Linked DNA regions of Arabidopsis thaliana. The protein of the gene in region 3 purifies or fractionates together with the protein of the main gene of each other region. This does not show direct contact. Each region holds a gene or a part of one and is shown on either strand. Other genes may lie near its edges.

Region 1 (4,491 bases), on a different chromosome or scaffold from region 3:
GAGCTTAGTGGCGAGACCGAGCTTGCGATGGGTACGAAGAACGGCGAGAGAAGTGATGTGGCCGTGGCACTCGTTGCTCTCTTCCTCCATCTTAGCCAAGACATAGCCAACGATGCGACCATTGTAGTCCTCGGCGACGTAGAGAAGCTGAGGCCATGAGAGGATATGGTAGAGGTAGTACTTCATCTGGTAGTTCTCAGGAAGACACATGAGATTGCAGGCTTGCATCGCCAGCAGATCATCCACCGTCGCTCGCCTGATGCAAACCATGGCTGCTCAATTGCTCTCGCGCGGATAAAGAGGGGTTAGGGTTTTCGGTCTAATGCCTTTGGGCTTTATTAATCTGGGGACGAATTGTAATTATAGAGAAATATGAGGTCTTTATTGAAACTTTTGCTTATATTTTAGGGGCATTTAATGAAATTCATTATAAACTTTTTCAGTTTAGGATTTGAGGTCCAATTGGGCCTTGATTGTAATGGAGTAGGAAGATTCCGATAACCTTCACTTTCTATAAGCTTATTTCTCCGCAAATTTTCTTACTATACGAGATGTCAAATAACTCTGTGCCTTGTAAAGATTATGGATTTCAAACTCTCAGCTAGGCATATCTTTTTTATAGGAGAGACAGTCGAGAAATAATCAAAAGAAGAAGGACAAAGAGAGTTGGTGCAGAGATTAGATAACTGAATCTTCTCTTCTTTTTGCAAGTATCCCTCTAAAATTACTTTTAAAACAATCGGATACTTGCTAAAGAGGAAACATTAGTAGCCTTCTCCCATACTTTTCTAGGACTAAACAGAGAACCTTTGTCTTTTGGCTTCAGGTGGAGAATTTGCTAAACTAGACTGATCCCCTCTTTCTGCAGTTTCGCTGCTCGTGTTTGTTGTCACTGAATCGCTTGACGGGCTCTCTCTTTCTCCTTCATTCGTCCTTCTATCATGTGCCTCTCCCGGCAACCTTGGAGAAAACACAAGTAGTAAGAATTTTATAACTCCAGTTAGTGAGTGTTAAGGCATATGCATAACTAACAGAGGAGGAAAAAGACTTATATTTATCTTAAATCAGCTTTCCAATAATGCAACCAATGACAGCAAATAGACTTAAAAGAGCAATACCCTAATTGCAAAGTTGTGTCTGAATCGGTGTTCTGGAGGCTGCATTTACTGTCGTGGTTTATGAGAGCGTTCTTTGGATCTATAGCAAAGCATTTGATGTAGGATGGAACATAGTGGGTGAACGACGGGAGAAAGCTCCTCAGTTCTTGAACCTGTTTCAACAAGTAATTACAAGTCAGAGGAAGAAGCGTTCATTAGGAGATGATTCAACAAAAATAATAAGAACCTGTCTACGCAAGGTCTCGTTTTCCAACTCTGCTCGTTGTTCCTGCAAAGTATATATATGGCTAATCAAGAAACGAATTATACTTTTGCACTCTGTACCTAGTTATATAGGAGTCTTAAGACAAATAAACTGCACACTAGCTAGTTAGAGCATGAGCTTGTCAAAGGATAGCCACTGGTTTTAACAAGGTTCAGAATCATGTGATTACACATAAGCTTACATTTGGAAGCTAGAGAGGAAAAGCTAGTGTTTACCTTGAGGCGTGATTCTTCAAGTTGGTTAGTCAGCAATCGTTCCTGAAATCAGATAACCATAATCAGGACAATGCAAAGAGAAATGATGATGGAAGAGTGATATTACTAGTTACCTTTCGCTCTCTGACAGTAATCAATGCATGATATAGTTGCTGCTCAAGGCTTTGCAGCTCTTTAAAGGTCAGAGGATTCAAGCCCTTGCCCTGCAGTTGTCTACAACAGAACAGAACACACAAAGCCAAACACTAAAAACAAACACAAAGTAGAGAAGAATAAAGTAATGAACAAGCATAGTGAGATTTATTTAGTTTCCATACAAATGTTTCTCTTGAAGCTTTGAAAGTTGATCCTTTAAAATATCCACCTCTGCACAATCCTCCTGGAGGTTCTAAACAGCAATCAGATTTTCAAAAAAACAATTTCAAGATATATGAGACAAGAATGAATGATTCTCACCTCTGCTTTAGAAGCTGAAGAACTCTGGTGATTACCGTATCTGGAAAGTGTTTGCTTCATTCTAAAATCAAATGAGAATTCAAAATTAGGACTCTCTTCAGCTCAATCAGAAAACTTTTAATCTTAACAAACATGCAAAAACAAAAATCAATTACAGTTCCCGAAATCGATTCTAATCACAACAAGACAAGACATGCAAAAACAAAATTGAATCAAAAAGAAATAAGTGTTACCCAGTACTGGAGTACTCGAAGAGCTTGCCAGACTTAGAGAAGACGATGACAGCAACTTCAGCATCACAAAGAACAGAGAGCTCACGAGCTTTCTTAAGTAACCCAGAACGCCTCTTGGAAAAAGTGACTTGTCTGCTATTCGCATTCTCGATCCTCTTTATCTCGATTTTTCCACGACCCATTTTCCCCCAAAATTGAACAGAGAGAAGAAGGTAGAAGGAAGAAGAAGAAGAGGAAAGGTTCAATGTATTCCAAAATGGGTTTAGAAGTGCTTTTTGGGAATCTATTAATGGGAACACAAAAGATTGCTAAATTTGGATGGAATATTTTTGTTTTTATAGAAAAAAGAAAGAAAGGTAAAAACTCGGTAATGAATGTTGTGTGTTGCATGGCCACTGTTTTGCGTGCTCTCTTTTTTCAATTTTAGGGTTTTTTGCATGATACCTTTTTGCCACATTTGGAGGATTTTGTCAGTTCTTCTGGGTCCTACTTTCCCTTTTCTTCCTAAAGTTGTTTTTTTCTTTCCTCTTTTTTCCTTCCCTTTAAAATTAGATTTATTAGTACTAGTGTATTTTCTCTTTAATGTTGTTGTAAGACATAAATCAGACCAACAATGTTGACCGACATAAAAATAAAAAAAAGTTCAGAGCAACAATTAGAAACAATTTCAAAGTACCCCCAAGAATAAAATTGCAACAACTAGCATTGTTTGATGGTTACCATTATGTTATCAACTAGTGAGAGATAAAAAAACATACTGAGAAGTAATTTCTTACAACTAGTGTAGAACGACACTTTAGTAGCAGCTTTGTAACACCGGTTTTTTTTTTTTGACACTCAAATCAATAAATAGATAACGAGATTTTATCAGAGACTAAGAAACAAATTAAGAAAAGAAGCAGACCAAATCTCATGTTGGATATATAGCCTGTGTAAGTAAGTTTCTCAAAAGTGGTTTGGATAGCCTTCTAATTCAGTCCCTTATTTGTTGACCGTGGAACTGACAAAAATGAGATTCAAGCTAAGGGAAGAATATGGTCAAGGATACGACTTTGCCTCGAGAAAAGTAACCAATGATACGTCTTTTCAAACACCATACATGTTCAATAAAACTGTTCACCTTTGGAAATTATTAACAATTCAAATACACTCACTTTCTTCTTTTGGAATCAGAGTAATTTCAAGCTCTCTTCCAATTTTTAAGACAACTCATATGGCCTGCAATGTCGCCTTCCTATATTAATCTGAACCTGTGGATTATATACAACAATGCAAGAAAGGAGTTCCTTCGATTTAGGTGACTAACTATCAAGTAGATATTTTTCTAACTTTTCCTTTTGAACATTTTAGAAACTTGATTCTACAGACAACATTATATAGCTAGCATCGGATGCAACATAGATTACAATTAATTTACACTAGACGACTGTTCCATGCTTCTTCTATGCAGACTTCCCTCCAAACACCCTTATAAAACTGGATCTGAAAGATTCTCTAACTCCTCTCCAGTACGTATAGTTTGACCCATATAACCACAGATTCACTGCTTTTTTCCAACCATCTCTCGGGAACTCAATTTCTCTACCAATCCTGGACTCCTCCCAATCTTCTTCAGTGTCCTCCAAAAGCGGGAGCGCTTCAAAACCACCAGACTCCAGGTGCTTGATCCACCCGCGCATCAGATAGTTCACCACCTGCTCGTTTTCATATCCCAAATGGTGGGTTCATTATACCTAATTGCAGAGTTTGAAGAATTTATTGACTAGTTCATTATACCTCAGGGACTTCATCGTGTGGGCAGTGACCCGCTGGGCTGATCTCGTAGTATGGAGCGTTGGGGATTTCCTTCTTTATCTTCTTTCCCCATAACGGTCTCACCCATGGATCTTCTCTTCCATACATGAGACATATCTGAACATTGTTTTCCTTACACCTAGCATAAACCATCAAATAGCAGCATTCCTCATAAGCAATAACACCAATCACGCAGAGTAAAAAACATATAAAAACAAGAAACCACACTGTCTTATACCTAGATAAAGCTTCGGAGAAAGATAGCTCTCCACCAGGAGCAAGCATGATTGAAGCAAACGATGCTGCAGCAGCCGGATGCTGTGTGACCTCCACAATACGTGAGAATACTTTATCCACATTGATAGAATGGTCTGTGTAGACCTGTTTAAGTATCTCAGCTATGCTTTCAG
Region 2 (4,544 bases), on a different chromosome or scaffold from region 3:
ATCCATCCACCGCCACAGGCTCTTCCCGAACGTGCAGACCACCTAATGATGTCCAAACAAGAGGTAAACCATTAATTTTACTTCTTTTCACTGTCTATTAGTTTTTTGTGTGGTTTAGAGTAAAAAAGTCATCATGTGTGTCACGTTTAAGTAGATGTGGGCAATCCGATTTTTGGTTCCCTTCATGTGTTCCGCAAAGTTCTGCTTAAGTGTAAAATCTAGAATTGCTGATATACGTTCTAATTGGTGAATTTGCAGAGGAGGATTTAAGATGTAAGGTGTAAGACGTTTGTAGCTGCCTAAAAACTGTAGGAGGAAGGCATTCCCTATAGTTGCAGATATATGTAAATATCCTCCAATTTTTAGTCTCATGGATGATCTTAGTTGTATATTACATATAGTAGTTGATCCCTTTTGAGAATGATGACAAAAATAGAGGCAAACAGAGTTAATAATAATTGCCTGAGGAATTTTGGTTTTTCTACTATCACTCAACGAAGCTTTTTTTTTTTTTTTTGTCCAGTGATGTGACATGTTTTACGTCCGAGATTTACGGGTTTAACTTCTGTGGAGTCTGTCTTCTTTTGATTGGGTTAAGAAACTTTGCTTCTAGAAGGTTAAACGTAAAAATTACAAAAATCTGGCCACACATTATGCAGCTGAAGATCGATCATTTACATTTACAAGGTAGTTGAAAGTAGAAAAAACAAAAAAAGTTCCTAACTTAGGATCTCAAATGTAAAACCTAACGTGGAGAGACATCTAAGGATCTGTAGCTTTCACAAATCTGCCCTTAACACGCAACCTGGTCTCGGCTCTCGCCTTCCTCGTTTCATATCTTATGGTCTTATCATATCTGCTGAAGCAATTACAAATTAGCGATTTCGAAAGACAATCAACTTACAAAAGGGAAACTAAAAGAAAAAATGGAGAACATCATTACCTCCGCGTTTTCTTCTTTTCCTTGTACCGCTGCATAGCATTATCTCTGTTCTGTGCCATCTGCTCTAGATCAGCATTCGTTACCGCCACCAATCTTGTGGCTCTATTACTAGTAATAGCAATATGTTCCGTGCAATGCAAGCCACAGGAGTCGTTAGAACTTTTATGCGAGTGAATGGCAGCAGGAATATTGTTGCTCTTAGATGTTTCCTGTCCCTTGGTAGAAGTTGAGTGGACGGAATCCTCCTGCTACATTCTACTTATAAGTATCACAGTTCACCGACAAAGATATACCAAAAATAGTAGTTTGACTTATCAATTATGATATAAATACATCAGGTTTCATTCATTCCAAGATGTTCTAACCAATAGAAATAAACCCATGAGATGTAGCTACTACCAGACCAGTATATCAGTCACCAACTTAAGCTATATATGAGGGAATATTCAAATGTTTAAGGTATGGAGTGTTTTGGGATTGAATTTAGGGATCGGGGGAGTTTATTGTCTATAGAACAAACTCTAATTACGTTCTGCAATGTGCGTTGTGTTTGTCAATTTGTGAGATAAATAAAATGGTTTACAATTCCAAACCTAATAACAATGTAATACCTGGTAACTCTCTTTGAAAGCATTCATATTGGTGGTTCGGGTATCGTTCTTGAGATGAGTAACGTTGTTGAATGTGAAAGTAGAGCCTTTAGTTTCGACTGGACTAGGTTCATCAGGGTTCCTCGACTGTCCCAAGTTAAAATCCCATATCTGCAACAACGTATATTCCACTGTGAACCCCAGGCCATAAAACAGAGTCTTATCTCTAATTAGGACAACCAAGAAAGAATAATCAACGTTCCGACAGGTAACTTAACAGATTTGGAGACCTAAAGATCCAACTGAAGTTACTGTAACATGTTCTAAGCACAAAAGCAAGAACACATGACCAAACTTAAAACCCTAAAATCAATTGCCAGAGAGAGATAGAGAAATGGACCTGAGTGTTCTGGCCAGTGCTATGATTAGTAGCATTCCATTGCATACCATTACCACAAAGACTTTGAGACATAAGCAAAGAAGTAAACGACGTCGTCGGAGATGGCTGAGAAATGCTTCCTCCGCCATTGATTCCCTCCGGAACCATAATCTCTCCTTCGCCTTCAACGAAGCCTCTCTTCAGTAACTCAAGCTGTTCAAACACTACCTGCTTAGACCTCCCAAAGCTAAAGCTTTGCTTTTTGCAAGACACATCATAAGGAACAATCAGTTCTTGAACGATGTTAGATCCAGAACCCCACGAATCCAACCCCATCCCAAAATTCTTAGTCAATTCGTCTTCGTCATCTTCTTTCTTCTTACCCTTTAAATCGATTCCCCACACAGCAGCAAGCTCCAAAACCGAAGGACAACCTGAAAACCCTTCCACGGCGGAGCGTTCATGCGTCGCGGAGGAGGAACAGCTTCCGTGAACATCCCAATCACACTCCTGACACAATACGAGATTATCTGTGAAGCAACGTACGGACACCGGCTCTTTGCTACAGTTATCACAGATCTGAGAACGAACATGCTTCCTCGAGAGAAGGTTCGCCGAGTGCACGTGCTGGTCACAAGGCAAACAAAGCTTCGCCGTATCGGCTCTACAAAACAGAACCGCCGTTCTCTCGCCGCAAAATTCACACGCCACCACACTCTCTGTAGTAGAAGTACCCATTTTGTGTTTAAGATGGTACCTTCACAATCCCTTAAAATCTCGCTGATTTTATACAGTGGAGAATAAGATCAAGATGACGAAAGGTGATGAAGTGATCGATGGAAGAAGAAGAAGATGACATAGACATAATCTCAAAGTCTCAAGCTTTCGGTTTTGCAGTGAAAGGAGAAGAAGAAGATGTCATTAATTGAAAATATCTAACTGTTGTACCGGAAATAAAGTTGCATTTACATAGGTAATTAATTACTTGAGAAATAATTGGCTGCATTACAGTGTATGGATTTAGGCACATTAATTGGCTGCCTTTCTTTCAGATCCACGCACAAGGATTTTAGCCCATGTTTCTGCTAAGCCCAATTCTAAGCCCATTATTTGGATGGGACGTTAGGATGTTAACGACATGATCGATAAGGAGAATATTTCACATGTACGAAGTTTACTAACTCGTAAATCGTTCCAGATGATCATTATTTGGCAATTTAGAAAACAAATAAGTCAATATATATATACTAGGAACATATCCTAAATCCAGCCATGAATTCACACCAAGTATCCAAATATCCAAAAATCTTGCAAGTTCTGTTGTAGCACATCTTGAAACATTGTGCAATGTCATTTTGAATGTCAATAACAACATTCTATTTTTGACATTGGTATCTTGGTAACGAGATTGCTTTCTTGGTCTCTTTTAGAAAGGTTATTATCTTTTAGTCGAATATCAATAACATATCTCTAAGAATTGTCCAAAACTCAAGATGTTTGTCCATAGGTTTGGAATATAGTAAACGTTGGAAATAAATTACTGATTTCCACTTTTCAATCGGATGAGGATGTGTTTTTTACCTTTTACATCCATCTTTGATTCATCTCTTAAAGCCATGTTTTCTCTCATTGATTCATCAAGCTCAGCGAACATAATTTTCCTCCCACACATGTGTCGCTTTCACCTATGTGACAAATCATTATTGGTTGTGTACTTGTGTTGTTATATGAATAGAAGATGAATGGTGTTACAATCATTGCCCATTATGTGGTGCGAGAAACAAAACATCCAACCTTTGCTATTTTCCTATGCCCTAAGGTTTTTTCACATGTTACTTAGCTATTATGTGTTTCAAACTCACTTGGAATGGATATTCTATATTCTTACTTTTACGAATTTTGATTCTTTATTATGTAGAAAACCTACAGAAAATCACGTTGTAAATTCGGTTTCGAAACCATAAAGGACTTCAATATTCAACTATTCTTTAACAAGTGAACTTTTATCATCTATATCACTTAAATCTTTATTCTCTATATCACTTGAATTCATAATAGAGAAACGAAAATTTAACTAAACACAACCTTTAAAGAACCCTTAAAAAGTAATTAAAAAAGAAGGAAAGTGAATTATACTAAACAAAAGATTATGTTAAAATTCGGATTCTTAAAAATCTTCTAGGGAAAAAAAAGCAAAATGGAATATGGATTCGATAAGGAAGGAAGGAGAGGAGACCCACACACAAGAACAGAGTGACAGACACAATTTGGCGTCTCTTTCGATCTGAAACATCTCTGTCTCTCCTCAGAGATTCCCTTCTTAGGTCCCATTGTCTCTCTTTCTGTATATTACAACTCTTGCAAACCTTTCTACCACCAAGATAAAATTATTATTTGGTAAAAAGCAATATCTTTAATTTTCTAGGAAAAAAGAAAGAAAGAACAACACTGGATTGAAGTGGTCGTCGCTTTCTCTTTCTACACTTCCAACAGATTCCCTTTTGCACTTCTCTCTTTCACTCTTTTCACTATTTTTGTTTTATCATTATTTTGTTTACGGAAACGTCATTTTCCTCCAGACAATACCTTTATTCCCTATATATATAATGGTATGGTGTAAAAATGTTATTGC
Region 3 (6,471 bases):
TTCAGGAAGATCTGAATCGAAAATAGAAGAGTCACATACACATACACATATATACATACGATAAAAAAATCACGATTGAAGGAGATAAAAAAAAACCTTCTTCGTCGACATCGATTTCACGGAGGACATCGGATTCACCAAGGAAAATCTCTCCTTCATCCTCTTCTTCCATCGCTAGATTATTCATCTCTGTATTATTAGTATTATTACTCATCTTCTTCTTCTTCTTCTTCTCTCTCTCACCACAGTTTTTTCCAGCCGCGACTAAGAACAGGAAGAGGACGGCGGAGATGAATGGAGGTGTGACGTGTCACGATGATGGAACAAGAAGACACAAAGTACAAAAACCCTTCTTCTCTTTTTTTCCCAACAAAAACCCTTCCAAAAATTTTTCTATTAAACGACGTCGTTTGTATACACAAAAGTGAAACGGCGTCATGTGAGTAGCGCATTATAAATAAACGACGCTGTTTCGCTTTTGTGTATTCTAACGACGTTTAGTAGAACAAAATTGAAAGGGTTTTTGTAGCAAAACAGCGGAGTTAGTTTAACGTATTTTTGGATGTACATATATTGTGTTCATAGTTCATACTTCATACAATAGACAGTAATCTTACACAAATCTTTAGATTACAATTTTTTTCCCTTTTAATCGAACCATAGCACAAAATCACAAATCTTTGAATGCTAGATTTCATTTTACATTAACAATTAAAAAAAACGAAAACTTACGGGTAAAAAAACTACCTACCTTGTAAAATTTGTTATTGTTCAATAATTTTATGTTTTTTTTTTTTACCTTGGACCAGATAACTCAACGGCGTGCAAATTGTAAGTAGAATCAAGAATCCAATCAGAGTTAGGATTAGGACTCAAATCAATCTCTTCCCTCAAAATCTCAACTTTTTGCCATTCGTCCCATTTCTCCGCAAGCCCATCTCCTTCCAGCATCCTTACAACTTCAGACATCTTTGGTCTTTCCATTGGTGATCCTTGCGTGCATAGCAACGCCACTTGTATCACTTGTTCCAGTTCTCTCTCCTCGTAGTTTGTTTGAAGATCTGGATCCACTAACATCTCTAGCTTCTTCTCCTTCAACAATCCTTTCACCTAAACCAACAAACAAGTATTTGAGATTAGATTCTCGTTTCAATGGTTTTTGTTGGGGTCAAATGGAAGTTTTATGTTGTTATTACCCAGTCAAGTAACATGACGTCGTCGTCGTTAGCTAGCCGAGCGAGATCGAAAGCTCTTTGTCCTGTGATTAGTTCTAGAAGCATGATTCCGTATCCGAAAACGTCGGTTTTCTCTGAAGATTTTCCGGTTGAGAGATATTCTGGAGCGATGTGACCGATGGTGCCACGGACTGCTGTTGTCACGTGAGTGTCTTTATAGTCCATTAGCTTTGCCAACCCGAAATCTCCAACAACCGCTTCGAATTCTTCGTCTAAGAGGATGTTTGCTGCTTTTACGTCACGGTGAATGATCTTCGGATCGCAGTGATCATGTAGGTAAGACAAACCTCGAGCTGAGCCTAGCGCGATTCTCTTCCGCGTTGGCCAATCAAGCGGAGGTTGTGACGGTGGCCTCTCTGTGTCATTAGTGTAACCAACAATTATGAACCCATAAAGGAAAACATGAAAAAACACTTCACGTCAAAGTAATTGAGAGAGAGCACAAGATGTTTAGTTTTTACCTCTGAGACACGAAGCAACACTTCCATTGGCCATGTAAGGATACACAAGCAATCTCTCGGTCGGTGTCATACAGAAACCTCGTAATCTCAACAGGTTTCGATGAACTGCCATACTTATCATCTCTACTTCTGTTTGAAACTGGAGCTCTCCACCTGGAGTTCGCTCTTCCTTCAGTCTCTTGACAGCAACAAGAGTTCCGTCTGCCAAGCGTCCCTTGTAGACTTTCCCAAACCCACCTCTGCCCAAAATGTTCTTGTTACTAAACCCATCACTCGCCACTTGTAGCTCCCGCAAAGAAAACCTCTTGAGCTGTCCCAGATGAACTTCTGGATCTTCTTCGGCTGCAAAGAGATTTTGCAATCGAGATTTTACTCAAAAGAGTTTGTAACTTAAAAAACAATGACTTATGTATTGATTTTCATTAACAGTTGTTCCAATACTTTTCTGCAAAACAAAATTGCTGGCTAAGAACAGAAACTAATGCGAATAATAAACTCACCAGGGACATCGAAGAAAATATCTAGTGGCTTTCTTCGTCGCCACCAAGCAAAGGCTATTGCAGGAGCAGCAAAGAGCAAAGCAGCACCTGCAGCAACTCCACCAGCTATTGCTCCAGTTATACCATACCCACCTGAAATCAAATTAGATCATTTGGTTATTGCCTTATTGGCAAGATGAGTTATATGAGAAAAAGGATTGACAGAGAAGCAAAGATTTCATCTTCTGTTTCCTATAATGTAAACTAAAAAGAGGAGGCTTACTCGGGGTGGAAACTGGGGGAGGTTGAATAAAAGGTGGTGGAGGAGAAAACGGGGGAGATCCAGGACATGGGTGACTTGTAACAGGTCCACATAGGTCTAAGTTATTAGCAAAACTGCACAAGGAAATGAAAGTTTCAGAATAAGTTCAGACACTGACACAACAACTGAAATAACTGAAGAGGATAAATCATAGAACCTGATGGGTGTGAAGAGTGAGAAGGAGCCATTGTCAGGAACTGAACCAGAGAGTCTGTTATTTGATAGATCTCTGTGTTGCATCCATCAAGGTTAAGTGCATTAACTCAACAAATCAACTGAGGGAGAATGAAGTAGACATAAATGAAAGTTAATGAGAGGACTCACAACACTTGAAGGGTAGTAATATTGGTCAGTGACATAGGAATTGACCCAGTGAGACTGTTGTTGTTAAGCCGGCTATTCTTGCATGTAAAATTTTCAGCAAAGAGTCAAAAATTGGAACAAAACCTAAGATTAAACAAAGACTGTAACTGAGCCGGTAAAGCATATGTATACTCACAGAAATCTCAGCTTTGAAAGCTTTCCCAATGATTCCGGAATAGGACCGGAGAAGCTGTTTAAGTAAAGATCCAAACTCACTAAGTTTGTCAGATTTCCAAGATTACTAGGAATCGGGCCAGTTATGTTGTTACTGTAAAGCTCCCTGTAAGAAAATAAGAAACTTGTTAAAAAGATTTCAATTACAAAAGGTAACTCCAGTGCTTCTTCTGTCAAATCTTGGATTTGTTTTGTTAAAGCATGATGCATAAGTGGAACTTACAAATACTGCAAATTCTTGAGCACACCAAGCTCTGGAACTAAATGGCCAGATAACTCTGCATTCCCCAAATCACTGTATTTGACAAAAGAAACAAAAATGTCGGTAACCACGCTGAGGTCAAAGTTTAAAAAGTGGGATTAGTAGAAGAAAGCTTTACACTCTTATGACACTGTTCTCGTTGTTGCAAGTGACATGGAACCATGTGCAAGGATTCACTAGCGTAGGATCCCAGCTCTGCAAGACATTGTTTGGATCAACTAGAGTAACCCTCAAAGTATGCAAAGCATCACCTATAACAAGAACAACAAATCTACACAATTAGCATCAATTGGTGAAAAGTCTAATTTCAAGAGAGAACTATTCAAACAGGCCTCTCTGAGATTAGAGGCTAATAATTAAACAAATTCTTTACAAAACCAAAAACAAATGAAGTCTTTCAGAGAATGTTTGGATCAACAACATCAATCTTAAGATATCAAATAACCCAGCTTTTCAACCCAAAGAACATGCCTTTACAATATACAAAGTTGATCTGAACAAGAAAAGCAAAACAGTGTATTCAAAGTACTAGCCACTAAATCTTACAAATACAAAGAACAACAACAATTTTCATAAATCAAAATGCAGACACTAAAGATAGCGATTCACCTCCAAATAAAAAAGAATCGAGAAAGTAATTGAGAAACGAGTAAAGCTGAGTAATTGAGTAACCACGAACCTTCCAAATTAGCAGAAGCAAGCCACAGTGAATGATTCGGAAGTAAGATCAGTGAAAGTAAGATAAACACCACATAACTCGACTCCATTTCAAACAACAATGCTAAATTTCGAATCTTGATTTGATCTCTTCAGATCCGAGAAAACCCTAACTTCCGAAAATCACCACCATTAACACTTTACAGAGACAACCTCAACACAAACTCACTCATTTTTTCGATAACCCTTTTAAAAACCCATTAGCATTAAAACAAACAAAGAGTAAAAAATAAAATCAAAATCCTAATTCTCCGGCGTTCTCGTCGTCGTCTTTCCTCAATCAAACCACACTCTCTCTCTCACACACACACTGTAAAACAAAAGTTGAATAAAGATGAAACTTTTTTTTTTAAACAAAAAAATAAGAGCTTTTTGGGGAAAATCTACGTGAAGTAATAATAACAAAAGAGCTTTTTATTAAGCCGCAACAACAAGCCTGCCAGAGAAACTATGATTAGTGTGTTGTTGTTGTTCCTCTCTTTTTCTTCTTATGAATAAAATAGCTTTTTCGTTGATATATTATTTAATATTTTTAAAGATCTCAACGGGCTTTATTTATGGGCATGCAGTGGTGTAGAGGAGGAAGACGAGGAATATAAGCTGCCCGTAACGGTGCTGCTGCCCGAACTGACCGGTCAAAAAAACGGGTTCGGGGGAGAGAAGAGATGGTTGAAAGTGACATCGCTTTGGGTTTGGGGTAAAGTAGTTGAAAGCTCTTAAGGCTATGCACCCGTTTCTCCTGGTCAAACCTCTCTCTGTTGGGTCCCTTTTTTCTTTAAGTAGAAAAACCTTTTCTAAATTTTTAATGCAAGTAAGATTCGTAATCCCGTATTTATGAAAGTAAAGTTAAAATGTTAAAGAGGTTCACTATCATGTGAGCAATCTCATACCAAAAATGTGAATTTTTTTTTACAATGGTTGTGAATTTTGTGATTGATAAACCATGCAACAATAAAGATATTAGTGTTTGCTGATATTCTTTCTAAACCCAACTTTGGCAGAGATGAGATTGAAAGATTTGAGTTTTGTCAACAAAAAATTTGGTGGAAGAAACTGTAGAGACGGCAAAGACAAAATTTGGCCAAGTTCCACTGTGGAAGTAGTATGGCGTGCCCGATATGACTTTACTACTGTTTCATCACAATACCATTAAACAGATACTTGTCTTATCATTTAAAAAAAAAAAAAAAACTGCCCATACAATTTGAGTAGAGGTAAAAAGTAAAATAAAAAGCAGATTACATTTGTTACCCTTTAAATATCACACATTATGCTTACCCCATGTGGTGGATGGACTCTTTATTTTCATTATGATCAAAAGGTTTCTAGAACAAAATTTAATTAAAGTAAAAAAGAAACAGTCATTTCAGAAAATATTTCAAGATAATGCTTACAATTATTTATTTAGATATTGTGAGTGGCTAAATCAGCTGCCAATGAGTGAATTTACAAACTTTTTTATAATCCCCAACATTTTTTATATTCATGATAAAAATATGCTTCAAATTCAAAATTTCACAAATCAGAAATAATTCTAAAAACAATAAGAGCTACCTTGTTATGAAAGAGAAACGAACTTTAAGAAGATTTTATCAAAATTAAATGAAACAGTAGAATTAAAATTTGCGACAAAAAAATACGCCTCCTAAATACAACGGGATAATATCCTAGTGCAAGTGGCCACCGAGCGTTTCAACTTTCAAATCCAGGAATAAAGGTAAGAAAAAGAACAAAACAAGAGAAAACACAGAATTTACAGAGGAAAGATACCATGCAAAGAAAAAGAAGACATGGACGCAAACGCCATAATTTGGAGAAAGAACATCATCTCAACTAGAAAAGCAGTTACGGACGCAAACGCTGAACGCTGTTTTACAGATTAAGTGAGTTTTCGCCACATAGATCCTTTGGAAGCAGTTAAGCACTTGACTCTCGGGAATACAAATCCTGTCTTTGGAGGATTACCATCTACCAGTGTGTTCTCATATATCTCTTTGCACTCTTGTACCACCTGTTTTCATCACCATAACCATTTCGTCAATTTAAGAATTCTTCGCCATTTGAAGTCTCGTAACCATAGTTTAAAAATCCATGTGATTCGCTACAATTATAACCCAGCATTTTCCAAAAAAGAGAGTTTGGTATGTTTACCTCTTTTGTGTCCTTCCGTGGTATGCCTTCACGCAGACTAACAAGCTTCTCTACGACCTCGGCCTGCATACCATATATTAGAGATTCTGTGTATACTGATATTGTAAAAAGCCAGAGCAGGCTTTGTTTAGATAATATTTACCGGGCAGTCAGGCTGGTGCTCTAGAATATTCGAGTACACGAGTGTAAATGCATCTAGACTCTCTGCAGATGCAAGTTCTCTCAGATCGCTCATTATTCTGATTCTGCTCTCCACTTTCTGTAACACAGTTCCAGTGGAAATATTAAGCAATACTTCAAAGAAATA
Region 4 (4,452 bases), on a different chromosome or scaffold from region 3:
TCTGATTGTGAGAAAAGCATGAAAAAATGTAGACGAAGATTGTGAAATCAAGTGAACTGAAATTTTAACCAAATAGAGAAAAGGTTATCCACTAAGAGTATTCACCTAGAATCTCTTAAATGCCTGGATCTTCCACCAAGCTTGTTTTTTTTTGTCTTGTGCTCTGTTTCTTGTGTCTACAAGTTGTTACAAGAGAATTATCTTTCTGTTCCTTATATATGTATATATGTATCTCCAGATAATCGCCCTTAGAAGGGCAAAGAGGAGGAACATGGAACGTTTGGTTTTGGCATGTGGTGGAGAAGCTGTGAACTCTGTCGATGACTTGACCCCTGATTGTCTTGGTTGGGCTGGACTTGTATATGAGCACGTTCTTGGAGAGGAGAAGTACACATTTGTTGAGCAAGTGAAGAATCCTCATTCATGTACTATCCTCATAAAAGGTACAAATGCCCAAACTTCTATCTCTTGCCAGCTAAGTTTTGAAGATCAATTTTGCTTATCTTCATATGTGTGGTCATTGATTATCTATGATTATGATTTGGTTTTCTTTATAGGGCCTAATGACCACACTATTGCTCAAATTAAGGACGCTGTCCGTGATGGTTTAAGATCAGTTAAGAATACCCTAGAAGATGAGTGTGTCGTATTAGTAAGTACCTTCTTCTCCACAAAGATCAAATCCATTGCTATATCAGTGTGATTGTTTTGGTTTTGGGCGCATGTGGTTTATTGACATCTGTTTCTTTCTGTAGGGAGCTGGAGCTTTTGAAGTTGCAGCAAGACAACACTTAATCAATGAAGTCAAGAAAACCGTTCAAGGGGTGAGTAGAAAGCAATATTCCTTTGCTCCAATACCAATTCTTGTTTTTTTCCGGTTGCTAATGTAAATTGTGGGCAAATTGCAGCGCGCTCAACTCGGTGTTGAAGCTTTTGCTAATGCCCTTCTCGTAGTGCCTAAGACGCTTGCTGAAAATGCTGGGCTTGACACTCAAGACGTTATCATTTCTCTAACGGTATTATTCTTGTATTTTCCTCTTCTGCCACTATCGATTATGCTCCAAGTAAAATTATGTTTGTGTTTATCTACTGAGTTTCGATGTATATACAGAGTGAGCATGACAAAGGAAACATCGTGGGACTAGACCTACAGGATGGAGAACCCGTCGACCCTCAGCTTGCCGGCATTTTCGACAATTACTCGGTGAAACGCCAACTTATCAATTCAGGGTATGTGCAGAACCAAATGGAAATTTGTATAATGGAGTCTTTTAATTCAGTTGCGGTTGAGTTCAGGTTGTTAAAACGGTTGTTTGGTATTGTATTGCAGGCCGGTGATTGCTTCGCAGTTGCTATTAGTGGATGAAGTGATTCGTGCAGGAAGAAATATGAGGAAGCCTACTTAAAACAAGACTATCTTTTGTTTTCAATTTTTTCTTACTTTCCCTTTCGTGTTTTGAGTATTAGCATATGAATACTATTTATTTTTTACTCGTTATCCTTTGTTGTCTTAGATAATTTTGAATGTATCTTTTTTTTCTATCTTTTGTATCAAACAAACATGATGAATGTTTTGATTGTGGTTTCTAGCGAAAACAGAACAAGATAAAGATTTCAGAATTTTAAGAAAATGGAACCAGATTTATGTGTAAACAAACGCAATTAAAAGTCAAATCAACAACAATGCACGGCATACTTTAATTGATTTTTATTTTTCTAGTAACGGAGTCAAGGCCCAATTAAATTATTTATTTTCCACGATCATTAAAGTCTTTAACGGGTCAACACCGTTAGACACTTGTCATACTATTACTGGGCCTTATTTTTCTCTTTACTTTCTCTGAAAATCAAAGCCCATCTCTTCTTCCTTTTTTTTCCCCTAATTTCTCACTTCCCCCTCATTTCGCGTCTCGACCTTCGAATTCGACAAATCCCTAATTCCAAAATCCTCTCGGTAAGCTACGGATCTAGTCTCTCTTTTGCTCATAGTTCGACGAAATCGTCTCTCTGTTGCTCGTTCATGTTTTCGTTTCGTTTTGTGGACTTAATCTTCTCTGTGTTCGTTGTTATCTGGAGATCTGGCAAAATCTCGAATGATTTTGATAGATTCTAGGTTTCTAGGTGTATCTATCGGTATAGTGTTCGTTTTGTCTTGATTTGTTGGTCTCGACGATTTATCTGTTGTTTCTTTTGTTTTGTTGGGAATAATGTTGATATAGCCAAGCTACTGTGATGTTGATGAAGTTTGAAATGAATTTTTGAAAACAGGATCTAAAAGAGTGTGTGATAACATAAGATGTCGTCTTCTCGGGAAGAGAATGTGTACTTAGCCAAGTTAGCTGAGCAAGCTGAACGTTATGAGGAAATGGTTGAGTTCATGGAGAAAGTTGCAAAGACTGTTGACACCGATGAGCTTACTGTCGAAGAGAGAAACCTCTTGTCTGTTGCTTACAAGAACGTCATTGGTGCTAGGAGAGCTTCCTGGAGGATCATATCTTCCATTGAACAGAAGGAAGAAAGCAGAGGAAACGATGATCATGTTTCCATTATCAAGGACTACAGAGGAAAGATCGAAACTGAACTCAGCAAAATCTGTGATGGAATACTCAATCTTCTGGATTCTCACCTTGTTCCCACTGCATCTTTGGCCGAGTCCAAAGTCTTTTACCTCAAAATGAAAGGAGATTACCACAGGTACCTTGCTGAGTTTAAGACTGGAGCTGAGAGGAAAGAAGCTGCTGAGAGCACTCTGGTTGCTTACAAGTCAGCTCAGGTAAACTCTTTAAGTTTCAACATCTATCTATCTTATTTTGCTGCTTGAGACCAGTAAAGGAGCTGTCATGATGAATGCTTATGTGTGTTTTTCTTCTAATGTAGGATATTGCACTTGCTGATTTAGCTCCTACTCATCCGATTAGACTGGGACTTGCTCTTAACTTCTCTGTCTTCTACTACGAGATTCTCAACTCACCTGATCGTGCCTGCAGTCTCGCAAAACAGGTTTGTATTTTGTCATACGGGATGTTATGATGCTTCCAGACTTTGTAACACTTATTCCAGCACCAAATTGCTTAATGATATTCTCTCAATTGTTTTGACAGGCTTTTGATGAGGCCATTTCTGAGCTGGATACATTAGGAGAAGAATCATACAAAGACAGTACGTTGATAATGCAACTTCTCCGTGACAATCTGACCCTTTGGAACTCTGACATCAATGTACACCTTTGTCTTCCTCCTTTTGCTTTTCCCTATAAACTCTTATATATGCAGTCTAAGCTTCTTTTACTCAGAAATTTCTCTCAAACGCTGATTGTGTTGCTGATTTTTAGGATGAGGCGGGCGGTGATGAGATCAAGGAGGCGTCAAAACATGAGCCGGAAGAGGGGAAACCAGCTGAGACAGGGCAGTGACCAGAGAGAGAGGGAGAGACATTTCTAAGTATGTATGGTATGGATTTTCCAAAAACATATGATATGATTAGGGGATTTGTAGAAGCAGAGAGAAAGATCTTTATTTGATTTTCTCCAAAAATCTCTGTTCCCTTTTTTTTTTATTGGGTTATTAAAGCTGTTTGAGTCTTTGGTTCCTGCTTCGTTGCTTGTTAGTATTTAGGAAGTGAAGAAACAAAACTTTGAATTATTGCTTTCCATTCAACTCGTCATAAATTATCATAATCAGTGTATTATTTACTTAGTTCTTATTAGGGTATTCTGATTTTTGCTTAACGCAACAGAATTTGTGTTAACCCATTTTTAAAGAATCTTCAATCTTGTATCATTGGTCGGGTCAGTCGGATATATGGTCCGCTTTTGGTTTAAGACCGGAACAACGAAAGCCGGGGATATTGAGCCTTTCTGATGATGCGCCTCCGGGCGGTAATGCTATTGGGACATGGATTACATTCTGATCAATAGGGACTAATAGTATGGATTTACTTTGTACTTCAGACTAGGGTTTTTTTTTTTTTTTTTTTTTTTTTTTTTTTAAATATTATTAATCCTCATCCCAAATGACCTTGGGCCGCAACAAAAACAACATCAAATCCAGTTACAAAATTAGCAAATCGGAAAACATGTCGGCAAAGAAGGAAGATCGCCGCTTGTTGATGGAAGCTAGCAGAGAGACCGGAGCATTAGATCCGGCGGGCTCAAGCCCTACAGTTTCGAGGCCGCAACCGATGCTCGAGAAACTCCGACGAAAGAGACCGGTTTTCGTCCTCGAATCAACCCCACCGGCGCACCAACCCACCACAAGACTCCCAGAAAGCTAGTCTCCCCAACAAGCACATCGACGGCACCGGATTCTGAAGAAGCAATCCGATACACTGGACGGTAACCCTTCCTTCCCAAACCGGTACAGATCCGAAATCCCAGAGCTATTGCGTTTCAACCGGCTCGATGGATGCAAAATTGTGACAAATCTAAAGGAAGGTGGCTCAACCGAAGCCTTC

What was found.
Region 1: the proteins of SERK1 (region 3) and AGL15 purify together in Arabidopsis thaliana (affinity purification with mass spectrometry, with the first as the bait; one study listed by BioGRID). This does not show direct contact.
Region 2: the proteins of SERK1 (region 3) and BBX12 purify together in Arabidopsis thaliana (affinity purification with mass spectrometry, with the first as the bait; one study listed by BioGRID). This does not show direct contact.
Region 4: the proteins of SERK1 (region 3) and GRF7 purify together in Arabidopsis thaliana (affinity purification with western blotting; one study listed by BioGRID). This does not show direct contact.

What each region holds. Positions count from the first base shown.
Region 1 is NC_003076.8:4,448,334-4,452,824, forward strand, and holds AGL15 (AGAMOUS-like 15), read right to left. Parts: upstream 2,626-4,491; 5' UTR 2,470-2,625; coding exon 2,288-2,469; intron 2,116-2,287; coding exon 2,055-2,115; intron 1,987-2,054; coding exon 1,916-1,986; intron 1,812-1,915; coding exon 1,712-1,811; intron 1,641-1,711; coding exon 1,599-1,640; intron 1,387-1,598; coding exon 1,345-1,386; intron 1,271-1,344; coding exon 1,119-1,270; intron 961-1,118; coding exon 795-960; 3' UTR 529-794; downstream 1-528. Other genes in the region: AT5G13780 (Acyl-CoA N-acyltransferases (NAT) superfamily protein), read right to left, coding at 1-270; PPH (pheophytinase), read right to left, coding at 3,730-3,981, 4,064-4,220, 4,320-4,491. UniProt on the Arabidopsis thaliana protein: Transcription factor involved in the negative regulation of flowering, probably through the photoperiodic pathway. Acts both as an activator and as a repressor of transcription. Binds DNA in a sequence-specific manner in large CArG motif 5'-CC (A/T)8 GG-3'.
Region 2 is NC_003071.7:14,187,397-14,191,940, forward strand, and holds BBX12 (B-box type zinc finger protein with CCT domain-containing protein), read right to left. Parts: upstream 2,859-4,544; 5' UTR 2,651-2,858; coding exon 1,934-2,650; intron 1,705-1,933; coding exon 1,555-1,704; intron 1,192-1,554; coding exon 944-1,191; intron 857-943; coding exon 763-856; 3' UTR 527-762; coding exon of another isoform or gene 524-526; 3' UTR 518-523; downstream 1-517. Other genes in the region: AT2G33490 (hydroxyproline-rich glycoprotein family protein), read left to right, coding at 1-63, 259-270.
Region 3 is NC_003070.9:27,016,167-27,022,637, reverse strand, and holds SERK1 (somatic embryogenesis receptor-like kinase 1), read right to left. Parts: upstream 4,481-6,471; 5' UTR 4,064-4,480; coding exon 3,976-4,063; intron 3,548-3,975; coding exon 3,415-3,547; intron 3,330-3,414; coding exon 3,258-3,329; intron 3,141-3,257; coding exon 2,997-3,140; intron 2,894-2,996; coding exon 2,822-2,893; intron 2,727-2,821; coding exon 2,655-2,726; intron 2,572-2,654; coding exon 2,459-2,571; intron 2,329-2,458; coding exon 2,197-2,328; intron 2,039-2,196; coding exon 1,697-2,038; intron 1,592-1,696; coding exon 1,197-1,591; intron 1,111-1,196; coding exon 796-1,110; 3' UTR 521-795; downstream 1-520. Other genes in the region: AT1G71840 (transducin family protein / WD-40 repeat family protein), read right to left, coding at 1-11, 97-214; SEC6, read right to left, coding at 5,893-6,024, 6,165-6,227, 6,307-6,423. UniProt on the Arabidopsis thaliana protein: Dual specificity kinase acting on both serine/threonine- and tyrosine-containing substrates. Phosphorylates BRI1 on 'Ser-887' and CDC48 on at least one threonine residue and on 'Ser-41'. Confers embryogenic competence.
Region 4 is NC_003074.8:525,760-530,211, reverse strand, and holds GRF7 (general regulatory factor 7), read left to right. Parts: upstream 1-1,823; 5' UTR 1,824-1,954; exon of another isoform or gene 1,955-2,133; intron 2,134-2,268; 5' UTR 2,269-2,296; coding exon 2,297-2,773; intron 2,774-2,877; coding exon 2,878-3,000; intron 3,001-3,101; coding exon 3,102-3,218; intron 3,219-3,331; coding exon 3,332-3,412; 3' UTR 3,413-3,919; downstream 3,920-4,452. Other genes in the region: AT3G02530 (TCP-1/cpn60 chaperonin family protein), read left to right, coding at 239-443, 558-652, 756-824, 909-1,016, 1,112-1,230, 1,331-1,406. UniProt on the Arabidopsis thaliana protein: Is associated with a DNA binding complex that binds to the G box, a well-characterized cis-acting DNA regulatory element found in plant genes.